Cricetulus griseus: one gene and its partner. The protein of the gene in region 2 purifies or fractionates together with the protein of the main gene of each other region. This does not show direct contact. Links are inferred from orthologs where the notes say so. Each region holds a gene or a part of one and is shown on either strand. Other genes may lie near its edges.

Region 1 (7,738 bases), on a different chromosome or scaffold from region 2:
CCTCCCCCCTGGCTACTGTGCAGTCAAGGTTCCCAACCCCCCACCATCACCCTGGCTCAGTTCCCCCCTCCTCTGCCTTTAGCTGAAGCTCCATTAACTTTGCACAAAACCTCAACCCACCCCTGGGAAAGGTGCTTTCTGAGCTTTTATTGTCCTGAGCAGTGGGGGCTGGGGCCACCCTCAGGTTCTCTGGCTAGGCTCCAGGATTGAGAATGGCTCCCAGAGGGGAATTGATGCCAAGGATGGCCTAGGGCTTGGGCAAAGTCTTGCGAGAGGGGCTAGAGACTGAGGCTTGGAGCTATTTTCTTGGTCACTTGGTGTGCCTCACTAATTCATGGTATTTGTTTTGCTTTTTTTTTTTTTTTTTTTTTTTTTTTTTGAGACAGGGTTTCTCTATGTAGCTTTGGAGCCTGTCCTGGAACTTGCTCTGCTGTAGACCAGGGTGGATACTTCTATTAGCCTGGTACTTCATTGGCTTGTTTTAGTTTAGTTGGCAATTTTTGTTTTGCTTTGTTTCTTCACAGGGTTTCTCTGTGTAGTCCTGGCTGTCCTGAAACTCACTCTGTAGATCAGGCTGGCCTCCAACTCACAGAGGTCTACTTGCCTCTGCTTCCCGAGTGCTGGGATTAAAGGCGTGCACCACAACTGCCCAGCTTGGTTAATTTTTAATTTATATTTTACATTATATTGGTATTATTTTTATTTATTTTAGTTTTTCAAGACAGGGTTTCTCTGTGTTGCTCTAGCTATCCTGGAACTGGCTTTGTAGATCAGGGTAGCCTTGAACTCACAGAGATCCACCTGCCTCTCTCCCCCCAGTGTTGGGGTTAAAAATGTATGCCACCATACTTGGCTTTTCTTTTTCTTTTTGCCTTGAGACAGGGTCTCACTTTGAAGCTCAGGTGGCTTTGAATTCTCTATGTAGCTCAGAAAGGCCTTAAACTTGTTATGGTCCTCCAGATCAGCTTCCTGAGCATTTGAATTAGAGATGGAAGCCTCCACATTAAGTCCATGTTCACTTTCTTTATTGGGGACAAGGCTGGTTGTGTGTGTGTGTGTGAGAGTGAGAGAGAGAGAGAGAGAGAGAGAGAGAGAGAGGAGAGAGAGAAAGAGAGAGAGAGAGGGAAGAGGGGGGAGGTCTCTCATATATAGTGCTCACTGTTCTGGAACTCACAATGTTGACCAATCTGGCTTTAAACTCACAGAGATCCATCTGCCTTTGCCTCCTGAGTACTAGGATTAAAGGTGTGTACCATGACACCTGGCTCCATGTTCACCTTTAAGTGTGAATAAAAGTAGGGTCTAGAGCAGTGTTTCTCAACCTTCCTAACCCTTTCATAGAGTTTCTCATGTTACGGTGGCCCCCACCCATAAAATTATTTTCATTACTACTCCATAACTGTAATCTTGCTGTTAGGAATCTGTGTTTTCTGATGGTCTTGGGAGACCCCTAAGGGTTTGAGACCCACATGTTGAGAACTGCTGTCCTAGAGTGACACATACTAGTGAGGCCTTACTGCACATGGGAGTATCCACCTTGGACACCAGGAAAAGGGAGTTTTCTAGACTTGGTGACAAACTGAACTTCGCCTGCCTGGGTGGTAGACCTGCTGGGCCGCCTTGTGCTAGTGGCCTGAGAAAGTCAGGGCTGGGTGCGTTTCACAGGCGTCAGTGAGGTGAGTGCTTCATAAGAAGGAAAATTACCCAATATCAAAAAGAATCCATTTGGGGACCAAACCCTGTGGCCTCAACCATGGTGCTGCTGCTGTCCCTGGTCCTGACTGGCCGTCGGGCGCTCACCTCTTCCAGGAACTTCTAGACCCAGGTTGGGGCAAGATGTGGGGTAGATATCGTCTCCTGAAGGCTCTGTCACCAAGGTAAAGTCTGTCAGGAGGTGAACCACTAATGCCCAACGGAGGCGTCTTTCTCGCCCAGACCACAACGCGCCTCCCAGAGTGGGGCCCTGGGTTAGCGCCATGGCGCTGGTTTTTAATCTAGAGCCTTTAATTTTTAACGTGGCTAGGTTTTTTTTTGTTCTGAATGTATTCTCACCATGTGCTCTAGCTCTCTTTTGACAATTTTCCCTCATTTTTGAGGAAGGAGCCTGGACTGGGACCTGGGGAAGGGCAGGGGGAGCGCGTGGCATGCAGAAGGTGAATGTAGGAAACAAGCCAGAGGTCCGCTCGTCATCCCCACGGGAGGGAAGACGGCTTTCTCCTTTGTCGCCGTCATCCAGGGGCAGGAAGCCGCGCGTCTGTCTCCGGGAAATCTCCTGCACCCCCTTGTACTCCCCACCCCTCCCTCCGCTTCCCGCCCCCGGTCGCCAGGCTGGGGAAATCCGCCGGGCCTCGGCCCCGCCCCGCCGCCCCGCCCTGCTGCGCCGCAGCCCCCCAACCCCCACCCCGCTTTGCTCAGCGGTGCTCACGCCTGCTGGGCGTGGGGCGCGGGCCGGGTGCTGCGCGGGACTCCGGGGCGCTCGCTCCAGCTGCCGCTGCGGATATGTCGGGTCCGCGCACAGGATTCTACCGGCAGGAGCTGAACAAAACAGTATGGGAGGTGCCGCAGCGGCTGCAGGGCCTACGCCCGGTGGGGTCCGGCGCCTACGGCTCGGTCTGGTAGGGGCCAGCAAGGATCTGGTGGGAGCTGGGCGGGAAAGTGTGCGCGACCCTCCAGCGCGACGTGGGGTTCCCGGCGTGGGGAGGGGCCTCGCCCTGCCTCCGCCCCCGGCCGGCACGCTTCTTAAGAATGAATGGGGGGGGAGGGGACACGGAGGAAACTTTCCTACTGGATTCCACTGGTTGGAAGGGAGGGGCTCCTCTAACGTACCCCCATCTTCGATCCCTTGTTTCTCCCAGTAAGGCGGAATCCCGCGGCGTCACAGCTGGCTGGCGGGAGAGCAAGACTCTGGGGTCGCTAAATGGAACTGCCATCCTGGTTATTTGGGGCAGAGTCTAAGTAGCTTGCAGGGTCTAACCTGCCCCCAGACTTGCGTGTTTGAAAAGGGGGCCCCCAGCGCCGTGAGGAGACCTCTCCTCTTCGGAAGGCATCAAGCTCTGCCATGGATCCTACCCCCTCTTCCAGTATCCTAGGAGTCTCAGACAACGGCTTGAGCAAAATCAGACACCTATCTTGTCTACACCCTACCCCAGTTTATCCAACAAAGGATCTCAGAATACAGCTCCACACCTAGGGCTCGGGGATCGGGGTAGAGTGCCTGGTGGTTGAAACCAGCTAACTCCCAGGCACTCGGAACTAGAGAATGGGTGCAGATAGTCCATGTTGATAGGCTGGTCAAGGGCTAACACCCCAGCCCTGGGGATGGGGGTTGAGACTCAAATCTTGGATCTTGTAATGACATCTGTCTGTCATCAGAAGCCTGTGTCAAATCCCTCACAGCAGGGCTCTGATGAAATCGTATAGACTCAACCCAGAGGAAACCAGTCCTGCTTTTACAGGGCCCAGAGTGAGCTTGGTCACGGGATTGTGCCCCATGCCTTAGCCTATAATCACAGCACTCTGAGATGGATAAGCTTGTTCTCCTGATGATATTTGCTCCTTATCTCCTTCTTGCTTCTCTTTCTCTTAGGGTGTACTCCCGTCCACATTGAGTAGAGACAGGATACCCCCCCAATACCCAAGGAACAGGAGACAGGAAAAAAGACAGGCTGTGTCTGGGATGCTCACAGCAAGTAGAGGGGGATGAGGTTACACAAAATCCCATTAAAAAAAAAACAAACAAACAAACAATACTTTAGAGGAAGGGAGGAAAGGGGCAGGGAACAGACAGGGTGGAGAGAAATGTGGGGCATATGCCTTGCAGGGGGCTTGGACATTGACTAAGATGAAATTGTTCAGGGTTGAACATCTAGGAGTTGCTGGGAGATAGCCAACTTTCCCAAGTGAGGCCGAGGTCAGTCTCCACTGATCTGTGACCCTGGGCTTGTTCAATTGCACTCCTGAGGTTGGTGCTAGGATGCCAACTCCTTGTAACTTGATTGTTGAGATGCAGTGGAGCAACAGGGCCTGCTGATTTAGTGGCCACTCCCTTCATGCCTCTCTGCAGGAGCTGTTTAGACACTCTGCTTATCACGGGGAACTGGCTTCTCTGCCTTACTTTCTAGTCCCATGAACATCCTTGCCTTCCCTGGCCCAGTGGGGATGGGTGGTACCCTGTCTCCACTAACTGTAGGGAAGGGTGCACCCCTGAGATGAGGAGACTCAATAGGGAGAGACTGTGGCTAGCTGGACTCCTTCAGTGGATTCATAACTGCCCCAGTCTTGACAGCAGTGGGACCAGAACTTGGGGAAAAGCCCTATGACCACAGCTCATGATCATGATGGGCTAGGTCCCACCAATAGAGGGCATGTCCACATGCCTTTAGTCCCAGCACTCAGGAGGTAGAGGCCAACGGATCTCTGTGAGTTCGAGGCCAGCCTTGTCTATAGAGAGTGCCAGAACAGCCAGGGCTATACAGAGATACCTTGTCTCCAAAAACCAAAACCAAACAAACAAAAAGGGTACAGAGGTGGAGGGTCCTCCAGTCTCTGGGGGGTGGTAGTGGGCCAGAGAGCCCCCCCAACCCACAGGGGATGAGCATATCCTACCACCCAGTTACTCAGTTATAAATTGTGTGGGGTTTTTTGTTTTTGTTTTGAAAGTGTTTCACCATCTAGTCTTGACCTCATCTCAGTTCTCTTGCTTCAGTCTCCCAAGAGCTGGGATTACAGGCATGAACCACCATGTCCAGCTTCAATTATAAATTAGGATGCAATAAACACCTCTTCCTTCCTCAATCTGATGTGCGGAGGCGTGGGGGTGTGGTTCCCATGGCTTTCTAGGCAAGCCTCCCTTGTTCACTGGGTCCGTGAGGAAGGAGGAGGCCTGCTTGCTGAGGGAGTGTTTGTGGGCATAGTGTGTTGTCCATGCAACAGCCTCCTTGTGAGTGGAGGCTTAGGTTTCTCAAGAAGAAAAGATTAAAAACAAAACAACAACAAAAAAAACCTCTACCAGAGAACGATCAGTCTACTCAAGGGGGTCACCTAAGGGAGGTCCAAGAGGGGCGGCGTGAAGACAGCGCGGAGCGAGCAGGCAGGGACAGGCCTCCTAGGTCCAGGAGCCAGCAGCGGAGGCTTGCTCCTGTACTCCGGTGCAGGGTGGACTCTGGGCCAGGCGCTCGCTCATCGCCTCACTCGCCCACCTTGCAGCTCAGCCTACGACGCGCGTCTGCGCCAGAAGGTGGCTGTGAAGAAGCTGTCTCGCCCTTTCCAATCGCTGATCCATGCAAGGAGGACCTACCGGGAGCTGCGCCTACTCAAACACCTGAAGCACGAGAACGTGAGAGAGCGGGCCAGTGTTGTAGGGATTGAACAACCGACACCGCCCGGTGGGGGCGGGAGCGAAGTGGGTGGGGTGGGGCCTTTGGAGGGTACGCCTCCACATAGGCGGGGCCCAGACCAGTGGGGCGTTGCCTACAGCTGTGCTGTGGTCCTTCCTCGGTTCCCTGCCCAGATCATAGGGCTTCTGGACGTCTTCACGCCGGCCACATCCATCGAGGATTTCAGCGAAGTGTGAGCGGCCCGGGCATGCGTGGTGATGGCCTTGGGAGCTTAGTCGGGGAGGGTGTAGTGAGACACTCTCTTAACTCCTGATCCTGGCGCAGGTACCTGGTGACCACCCTGATGGGCGCTGACCTGAATAACATCGTCAAGTGTCAGGCACTGAGCGATGAGCATGTTCAGTTCCTTGTCTACCAGCTGCTACGTGGGCTGAAGGTGGGGCGCATGGGCTCTGGGGTTGCCTCGACAGCGCTGGGTTGGGCAGAAAGGGATGGAGCCTGAACTCACCCGGTGTGCCCTCCCCTGCAGTATATCCACTCGGCAGGCATCATCCACCGGGTAGGTGCAGCTGTGGGCGAGGGTGAGGGTCAGTCACTCTGCCTAGGCTCATGGCTGCCTCACTCACACCCGGTCCACCCTGCAGGACCTGAAGCCCAGCAATGTAGCGGTGAATGAAGACTGCGAGCTTAGGGTAAGGATGTTGGTGGGGGTGTGTGAGCAGCGGGGATGCACAGAGAAGTAGGTTGCACAAAGAAGTTGCATAACACTTATGGTACTCCAGATCCTGGACTTTGGGCTAGCGCGCCAAGCTGATGAGGAGATGACTGGATATGTGGCCACACGTTGGTACCGGGCGCCAGAGATCATGCTGAACTGGATGCACTACAACCAGACAGGTACCATAGACCCTCAACAGTGGTCTTGTACTGTAAGGGTGGGCAGGCAGTGCTCACAACAAGGTTTAGGGAAGGTGACAAATCGGTGGGGGTAGAAAGAAGGACTAAAAGGGAGAAGAGCATGCCTGGAGCTCTGAGTGAGGGGCAAGGGCTTGGTGGGACTAGCTTTTAGAAAGGCTTCTAGCTTGGCCGGTATCCTCAGACCTCTTCTCAGGGTAGGGTATAGAGTAAGGGCTCTACTGGTCTCGTAGGTCCTGGATATGACCGAGGGTCACTGGGCAGGCTTCCTCCAGCACCACAGGAAGGATTTGGACTGGCAGGCTGAAAGTGTCTCCTTATTCTCCCCCAACAGTGGACATCTGGTCTGTGGGCTGCATCATGGCTGAGCTGATTCAAGGAAAGGCCCTCTTTCCTGGAAACGACTGTATCCTTGGAGAGCAGGGTCAAGCTGGGGTCCCAGTCTACAGGGTAGGGGTGGTTTCTGGACCTTTTTAAAAGTCTTACTTCTTATGCCATGTCAGGTGGGGCTCCCTGTCCTGAACCACCCAGGTCCACATCAAGTGTTTCCTAAGCTAGATAGACATTGACCAGCTGAAGCGAATCATGGAGGTGGTTGGCACACCCAGCCCCGAGGTTCTGGAAAAGATATCATCGGAGCATGTAAGTTAGTAGCCATCCATCCATCCATCCATCCATCCATCCATCCATCCCTTCATCCATCCATCCATCTGTTGGTTCTGCTGACCAAGTACAGGTCATGTTGGGGAGGGGTTGGGGTGCAGATAAATGGGCATTGTATGGGGGACATGGACAGAGTGGGATAGGGCTTGTGCTAGAAACCCAACCCCTTCAGGGGGAAGCAGGTGAACCAGAAGGACATTTCCAGGTAGGAGAGACAGTGAAGACAAAGCTACCAACACTGACAAACTCCTCTGGCTACAGACGGTGGAGGCAGGTGAGGGGAGAGAAAGCTCTGACTATTTGGCTTTTGCAGGCATTATCAGAAGCCAAGTGGAGGTCTCGAGTCCCCAGACTTTTTTGTTGTTTTTGTTTTGTTTTTGGAGACAGGCTTTCTCTGTGTAGCCCCAGGAGTCCTGGAACTTGCTCTGTAGACCAGGCTGGCCTTGAACTCAGAGATCCACCTGCCTCTGTCTCCTGAGTACTGGGATTAAAGGCATGGGCCACCACTGCCCAGCTAGGGAGCCCCCAGACTTTGAGAGCAAGACTCTGGCTTGCTGGGGCACCTGCCAGGCCTGTTGGAATGAATGCATCAGGGCCGTCTCCTGAAGCCTTCTGCCCAGTCTAGGGCTATGGGAATAGAGGGTAATTAGCCCTCCAAACCCTTCTTATGTGTCTCCAGGCCCGGACATACATACAGTCTCTGCCCCCCATGCCCCAGAAGGACCTCAGCAGTGTCTTCCATGGAGCCAACCCTCTGGGTGAGGACTGGTACTGGGTCTTGGCTGGGCTTCAGATCCAAGACTGGATGTGGTGCTAACCCTCAC
Region 2 (7,484 bases):
ATGTTGAATGTTTCTCAAAAGTCCACCTTTAAGGGCATAGGCCCTCAGGCACTGCTACTGGGAGAGGGGATATATCTTTAGTTAGAGATAGGCTCTTGAAGGGTCTTGGGGGGCCCCAGTCCCTTCCTTTTCCACCCTTTTCCCTCTTGGTCATGAAGGGTCCAATCATGTTTCACTGTATACTTCCACCATTGGGTGCTGCCTAACCAGCCATGGCCTGTAACTCTGAAATGTAAGCGAAAAATCAATCTTCTCTCTCTGCAAGCATATTGCCTCAGGTATTCCTGTGCTGACTAGAAACCTGACTAAAACATTACCCTCCATTACTTTCTCCCCTGTACATACTCTGATGCTCTTCCTTTCTGCTCTATCTGTAAGCTTTGGAAACAGATTCCCAGTTCTGCCAGCTGCAGTGTAGAGAAGGCACTGGCAGTGTTGAACAGAAGAGTCCTACCTAAAACTTAGATGACCCAGTGATGTAGGCTCTACCTAACATTGCAGATGGCCCAAGTGCACACCTGTCCCATGGCTCTCCCCGACCTTGCCTAGGCTTTTGCAACCTTGATTCCACACAGTATGATACACCCAGCCCATGGCTTTTCCCTATTGAAGATAATAGACAGCCTACTTTTACTCAGGGTTTCGGGGTCAGTTGCAACTTCATGACTGATTTGGGGTATCTCATCCCCTTCTGGAAACGCAGCTCCAAACATGCAGGTTCATCATGTTTGGCTTATTGTTTTATCCCAGTCCCTACAGTGTGTGCCAGGTAGCCAAATAGGCAATGTACATAGATGAGAAATGATGAATGGATGAAGGGCAGGTTTCCCTTTCCTCTCCCTCCCTTCCCCAAAGAGCCCAGGAGGCAGCACTCTCTGTTCAGTATCTTAAATAAACCATTTATTTAGGAGGAACAATTAAAGAAAAGCGATTATGAAGTGGATTACAAAAACAAATAAGCACAACCCTCTCCAGGTTCAAAGACAAGATGGTTCTCCTGCCACAGGTACTGCCAGCCCCAGGCTGAATGTGTGAGTAGGCTAGTATGCATGTGTGAACACTCACACACACATACATACACACTGTTTACAAAGGGGTGTGGACTGCAATGAATGACCATGTGTGTGTGTCTGCAGCTTGGCCCCTTCCCTGCCCCCCAAACCAATACCGGCTGTGTGAGACACACAGCAGCAAAATTGAGGCCTTCATCCTTCTCTCCCTCCCCCTCAGCTCTCACTCAGAGACCCCCATCTCCTCCGGTGGCAGTTTGACCACCCTCAGTCACAAAGAGTCTCAGTGATCCTGTCAAGACATCTGTGGGAGGAGGAAAGAAACAGTCAGGGCACCAGATGTGTGGCTGGGATCCCACTGATTGGCTCCCAGGCCCATGCCCTCCCATGTGACACTGCCCAGCAAAAAAGGCTGCCCCTGTGGATACTGAGAGCAGCAATGGCATCTCTGGGTCCATATCCCAGAGCCACAAGAGGTCTAAGCGCTAGCCAGAGAGGCAGGAAGGAGACTACACCAGTGAAAGCTGTGAGACCTTTTCCCACAAGTGGCCATTTGGGGACAGGGAAGGAACTAAGAGCAAGTCCCTGTGGCAAAGTGTGATATAATCTTCCTGAAGAGGAAATGGCAAGGGACAGAGCCCAGGCACCAGGCAGCAGTCTGGAATGGTCTCTTGGATAGGAAGCCCCACTCCCACCCCGAAAGAATAAAGTAACAGTCACAGAAGAGGCATGGTCCTGGAGCATGGTCCTGCCCTAAAGTGGTGCGAGTCAGGTCTGTATCCATGGACCCACCCATAGGCACGTGTAATAGAACTGGGGTAGGGCAGGTCTCTGCTGTGTTCCTGCTTTGCTGCACCACCCCCGCTTGAGGTATTGAGCTCCCCCCCCCATTATGGCTGCATCCCATCCCTGCTAATACATGGGTCATAGGTAGGGACCAGCCCAGCAACTCCACATGGCTTTATGTGGGGTCCAGCTCAAAGACCCCATCGCTGGTAGGGGTAGTAAAGAAAGAAGGTGGGTCTGAGACAGTGGACTCTGGTCCCCCACTGCCCTGTCCCCCAGAGCGCCTCTCCTCCAGGCGCAGGCTTCGCTCAAAGTCTAGCAGCTGGCCCATGAAGTTGAAGTTGGGCGAGATGTTAGACTTCTTCCGCTTGACCAAGTCGTAGGCATCATTGAGTGAGAGGTGGAGCTTCTGCATGAGGTAGGCCACGGTGACAGTGACAGAGCGGCTGACTCCTGCCAGGCAGTGGACGAGCACCCCACAGTTCTGGGACAAGGCCTCATCTAGGTAGAGCAGACAGAAACATCCCCCCACAAGGCAAGGATCAGCATGAATGAGGCCAAAGCCCAGTGAATTTTGGGGGATATCATCACAGTCTCTCCACCCCACCTAGCCCTTATCTGGGAGGTTTTACTGGCAGCTGACCTGAGCTCTACTCCCACTTCCCCAAGTGCCTTGTCTGCTCTGGGTGAGGGTAGCTAAACTAGGCAAAAACTCCTTTACAGGAGAGGGTAAGGAGCAGGACAGACCAGGAGTCAGTCTAGTAGGTGGGGACAGGTGGAAAGAGAAGACAGGGAGGATAGGGAGAACTCACCAATGAATGCAATGGCCTCTGGAAAGAACTGGGACAGATTCTGGCTCCAGTGGTCAGAGATGGGGATTTGCTTGTAGTGGAAGTCACCATTCTTCTCAAAGAGGTTAGGTAGGTTGGGGGTGACATTGAGAATATAGCGGATGCCAAGCTTGGCTAGGCTCTCTAAGTTGGCTGAATCTCGGGCACTGCCTAGGTAGAGATTGGGCAGGATCTGGACTGGGAACGGTGGTAGCAGCCCAGCTGGAGGGGATGTGGTACTCTCCGAATCTAGGCCACAGCTCATGGAGTCACGGTCGGCCTCAGACTCTGCATCAGAGGTATCAGAGCCCAAGCACAGGCCACCTAGCCCCACCACAGGCACTGGGCTAGGCAATGCGGCCAGGCTTGATCCAGCACAACCACTGAAGCTGGTTTCACAAAGGTGAGGACACTCGGCCTGGAATTTGCTGAAACCACCTGTCAGGAAAGAAAGAGGTGCTCTTGCTATTATAGCCAGCTGGGCAGCCAGGAATCCCTAGCTGAGGCTAGGGAGGTGACCCTAACAACCTAGGTGGGTTGCAGATATTGCCGAAGGGAACACACAAACCAGCAGTTTAATCTTTACTGGAGAGCCACGTGTGGTGCATACTATGGACAGCCATCTCTCACTTAGCACTTGTGGCTGTCTCTCTGTATGGTGCAGCCGCTTGCTCTAGGGAACATCCTGTGAACTATGTTGTTTCAGGTCAATTCTCCCTATTTTCCAGATTTATAAATGGGCTTGGACGGATGAAGGATTTGCCCAAGGTCACACTTAGGTCTGCCTTCCCAAAAGCTGTCTGGTAGGTTACTGGGAGCAAGTATTATATTAACCTACATTTTAGACAAAATGCGATGGGGTTTGCCCAAGGATAAAATAATTATGAAATCCCCCTTGGAAGGCAGGACCGTCTCCTGACCTGAGGCCATCACAGGTTCCCTGTGCCCTCTCTCAGCCCACTGCACCTCACGTACCCTGTAGGTAGTAGGACAGGTAGCCTTCTTCCCGCAGCTTCTGGAGCAGAATGCCCAGCACCGAGTCAGCTTCCCACTCTGGGGCTTCGGCCTCTGCTTCTCCATGCCTGGATCGGCCACTACCCTGGTCGTATAGGAGCACAGGGGCGGGTGGGGGAGGCTGCAGCGGTGGCCCAGGCAAGAGTGAGCGTACGGACAGGCTCCCTCTCCGCAGGCGGCGCAGCATCAGGGCAGGCAGGACCACGCTCAGCGCCCCGCAGATGCGCGCTGACTCGTACAGCTCCCGGCTCCGGCAGTCGAGCAGTAGAAGCTGTGGGCGCGGGGGCGACAGCTCCTGCCGCAGCCACAGGCACGAACGACCCAGACTCTCCATGGGTGCGCAGCGTTCTGCACTTCTGTCCGTCGGGCAGTGTGTGCTGTGGAGAGACCTAAGGCGCAGAGTGAGGGAAGGTTTGTCTCTACTCTCGCAGTGTGGACCAGGCTACTGAGACGGGAAGTCAGGCCCTGTCCTGAGGGCAGGCGCCCAGTGTCCCTGCAGGGACATTCCTCCACCGCCTGCTTCTCTCCTTGCGCTCCACCCACAGTGAGAAAACCAAGGAAGGCGCCCCAGGAAAAACACCCGAGGCCGCCGCCACTGGGGTGTTGCTCCCTGTCCCGCTTAGATGGAGTTTGTGTAAGACATACCCCAGAAGGAGAAAGTCTAGCGGCCTCTTGAATGAAGACTTTCTTTTTTTGGGGGGGGGGGGATTCTAGGAGGACTAAATCCAGTTCCCTCCACACCCGTTTTCTGACTTTCTCACTCGCCCCGATCTCCATCACTCCCCAAGTTCGACTTGGGGTGTGTGGAGAAATTGGGTTCAAGGCCTGAATCTTCTCCAAGGCCAGGAAGAACCAGAAAACAAGAGGGTCACCGAGGTGATGGGCCTAGGCGAGTCCTGTAAGAGCTGACTCGGCCCCACTCCTCCCCACCCCAGGAGAGAACAAAAGGAGAGACCTGGAGCCAGATCCAGAGGCAGGCGGCCGCGCGTGGACGTCCTGGCCACAGCTAGTGCCAGGGCAGGGCGCAGGTATCGTCCCTGGAGAGGGAGTCCCCAGGTTTGGGCGCTCGGAGAGGGCGGGGTGGCGGATCAGGCTCGCACGTGGAAGCCAAGCCTCGCGCCACTCGTGCGCTGGCCGCTTCCTGGCAGCCGGATCCAGCTTCCACCTTGGGAGCCGCGCAGCCTTCGGACCGACTTAGTAGCTGCTCGGAGGGGGGGGGGGGCGGTGGGGTGGCGGGGCGGGCATACAGGCCAGGCCAGCCAACCAGTGAGAACGAACAGCCGGGTGGGAGTTGCAAGCAGCAAGCTGAGCTAGGGCTTCCACCCAGGCGGGACTGGGTCGGGGCAGAGGCCAAGGGCAGGTCGGGGGCCCAGCAGGGGACCAGTGGCAGTTGCCCCTGCTCGGCGCCAGTCTGGTCCCTGGAATCAGGAAGAGGGGTGGGGACAAAAGCCCAGCACCCCAGAACCAGAAACTGCCTCAAACAACTCACTTAATAACCCTTAACTATTAGCCTTTGTCTGGAACTAGATGGCCCCCATCTGTATAATGGGCTATCCAGAGCCATCCAATTTGGCTGTGAAATGCCACCGAAATACTGAAGGCACAAGGCAGCTCCTGTGTTCCTTATTCTCATCTGGGCTTCATTTGTACAGGCCTGGCTACAGGTACCCAGGAATTCTGAGCACCCAACTCTATTAAACTCGGGCACTGTGCTCTTATCACATGGTGAATCCTAAAAGCCATCCCTCGCTCCTCCTTGTGACCTTTGATCCACATGGAGGGAAGTCGTTTCACTGTAATATGTCACCATCCTCATGCTCCCGCCATCTTTTGCACTGGCCATGGCTACAGAAGTCACAGTCCTAGTTTCTAAAACTTCAGCTTGTTCTCCACCCTGCCCCATGCTAGAGCACCATTCAGCCCACAAAAACTGAAGGCCTCCAACCAGCCCTCCAGACAGGTGATGAGCAGAAAAGACGCACAGGGGCTCTCCTTGCCTGGGTCTTCCAGTCTGGCAGGACACACTAACAATAAGCAAAGACGCTGAATGAGATATCGGGGTGATAAGTGATGACAATGAAAGGAGAGGTAGGGGGAGACTCCTAAAAAAGCCCCATCTGGCCATGTGTTCTTTCTCTGCTAAAAGCCCAAGAAAAGCAAATAACAGTGTTAAAGGAAAACACACAACAGATAAGATAAAGCTCGCACAAAATACAAAGGGTTAAGACCCTGTAGATAAATGGGTAAGGAACTCAAGGACTGCATACTCTGCCTGAAGGAAGGAATGTGATGGGGTAAGAATATTTGGGGAAAGGTTGAAGCTCAGGCATGGAAGGAAAGCCAATTCAAAAACAAAGAAGTGCTTCCCAGTTACTACATTAGTAGAATGTTCTCAAAATGAAAACACCTAGTGTTAGCATGGTTGCTGTGAAACAAGTGTGCTGTTCTCATCCCGAGGGGGGGGGGATTTTGTTTTGGTAGTACCCTTTTGGAAATGAGTGTAACAATATACAACAGGAACTGGACAAGAGTAGGATTGGGAGCACACACCTTTAATCCCAGCACTTGGGAGGCAGCGGCAGGCTGATCTCTGTGAGTTTGAGGCCAGGCTTGTCTACAGAGCAAGTTTCAGGATGCCCAGGGTTGTTACACAGAGAAACCCTATCTAGAAAAACCAGAAAAAAAGAACCACATAATAAAGATGGACAGGGGTAGTGGTGCACACCTCTAATCCCACCAGTCAGGGGACACAGGAGAGCCAGGACTTCACAGAGAAACCCTGTCTCAAACTCCCTTTCAAAACAAAACAAAACAAAACAAAAGAATGAAAACCCTAAACAACAACAACAACAAAAGAATCAGACAAGAAAACCCCATACTTATGAGTTACTTCTGGGGCTCCTGCTTAAGAAACCACAGACAAGAATGCAGACTGGTGCACACAGAGTGAGTACTGCAAAGCATTTTTCTCAGGAGTGAAAAATGCTAACTCCCCTGAAAGAGCAACATTTAGCACCACTGCAGACCATCTATGCCTATTGAAAAGAGTCCTCACCTGGGCCAGAATTAAGGTGAGATGCTTGTGAAGTGATGCTAGGGAAGAAGCCACCCATACAGACTAAAGCTACCTCAGAGGGCCCTCCAGTTTTCCCCCTTTCTCCACCACTGTAGTGAACCACCAGTGAGCTCAGACTACTGAGCCCCTACCTCACCTGTCCCTGTTTCTGGGATGTTGATATTCAACGGTTCTGGGCAAATGGGGCTCTGTGGATACAGTCCAACCCTTCTGGCTGCACATGTCCCAGCCCCTATACCCTGTTGGTCTCATGGGCAAGCCTGCAGACTTCCTTCTCTATCTCCCAGGGGCCTCAAAGAAGCAGTGCTGTGGCATGGCTCATTTCTTTCTTTCTCAACGTTCTACCTTCTCCTCCCTTACATACTCATTCCAGTGTCAGAATGGGTATCTGGTGCTGCTTGGCCATGCATATCCAGACTAGGTCCTTCCTCCATATCGCAACTGTACCTGCAGGTAAGACCTTGGGATAGGCAGAGGTTGAAGACAACACAGAAGTTCTGCAATGTATCACACTTGTAAATATGGCTGGCTGGGGCTTGATTATGTTGTGAATGGGGTAGTGGTGGCATGGAGCCATGGATGCAGACAGCTGGAGAGACAGTATCCCACCCTGGAGTCTCCCTGTGCTTGGAGGAAGGATCTTTAACCAGAGATAAATACTGGTATTCTCAGAAGTCTCAGTGTGCTCTCTGGAGTAGGCTTTCTGGAAGAAGTGATAGGAACTGTCCTGGAGATGAGCATGGGAGGGAGGCACCCTACAATGGCGAA

Evidence for each region. The genes of interacting proteins can lie anywhere in the genome.
Region 1: the proteins of Dusp9 (region 2) and Mapk11 purify together in Homo sapiens (affinity purification with mass spectrometry; 4 studies listed by BioGRID and IntAct, with this or other methods). This does not show direct contact. The link is inferred for Cricetulus griseus from reciprocal best matches to the Homo sapiens genes DUSP9 and MAPK11.

What each region holds. Positions count from the first base shown.
Region 1 is NC_048595.1:385,898,810-385,906,547, reverse strand, and holds the start of Mapk11 (mitogen-activated protein kinase 11), read left to right. Parts: upstream 1-2,499; coding exon 2,500-2,615; intron 2,616-5,205; coding exon 5,206-5,335; intron 5,336-5,509; coding exon 5,510-5,568; intron 5,569-5,660; coding exon 5,661-5,772; intron 5,773-5,865; coding exon 5,866-5,895; intron 5,896-5,980; coding exon 5,981-6,028; intron 6,029-6,118; coding exon 6,119-6,233; intron 6,234-6,585; coding exon 6,586-6,657; intron 6,658-6,813; coding exon 6,814-6,893; intron 6,894-7,593; coding exon 7,594-7,672; intron 7,673-7,738. UniProt on the Homo sapiens protein: Serine/threonine kinase which acts as an essential component of the MAP kinase signal transduction pathway.
Region 2 is NC_048604.1:2,100,468-2,107,951, forward strand, and holds Dusp9 (dual specificity protein phosphatase 9), read right to left. Parts: upstream 3,975-7,484; coding exon 3,602-3,974; intron 3,065-3,601; coding exon 2,609-3,064; intron 2,298-2,608; coding exon 1,972-2,297; downstream 1-1,971. UniProt on the Homo sapiens protein: Inactivates MAP kinases. Has a specificity for the ERK family.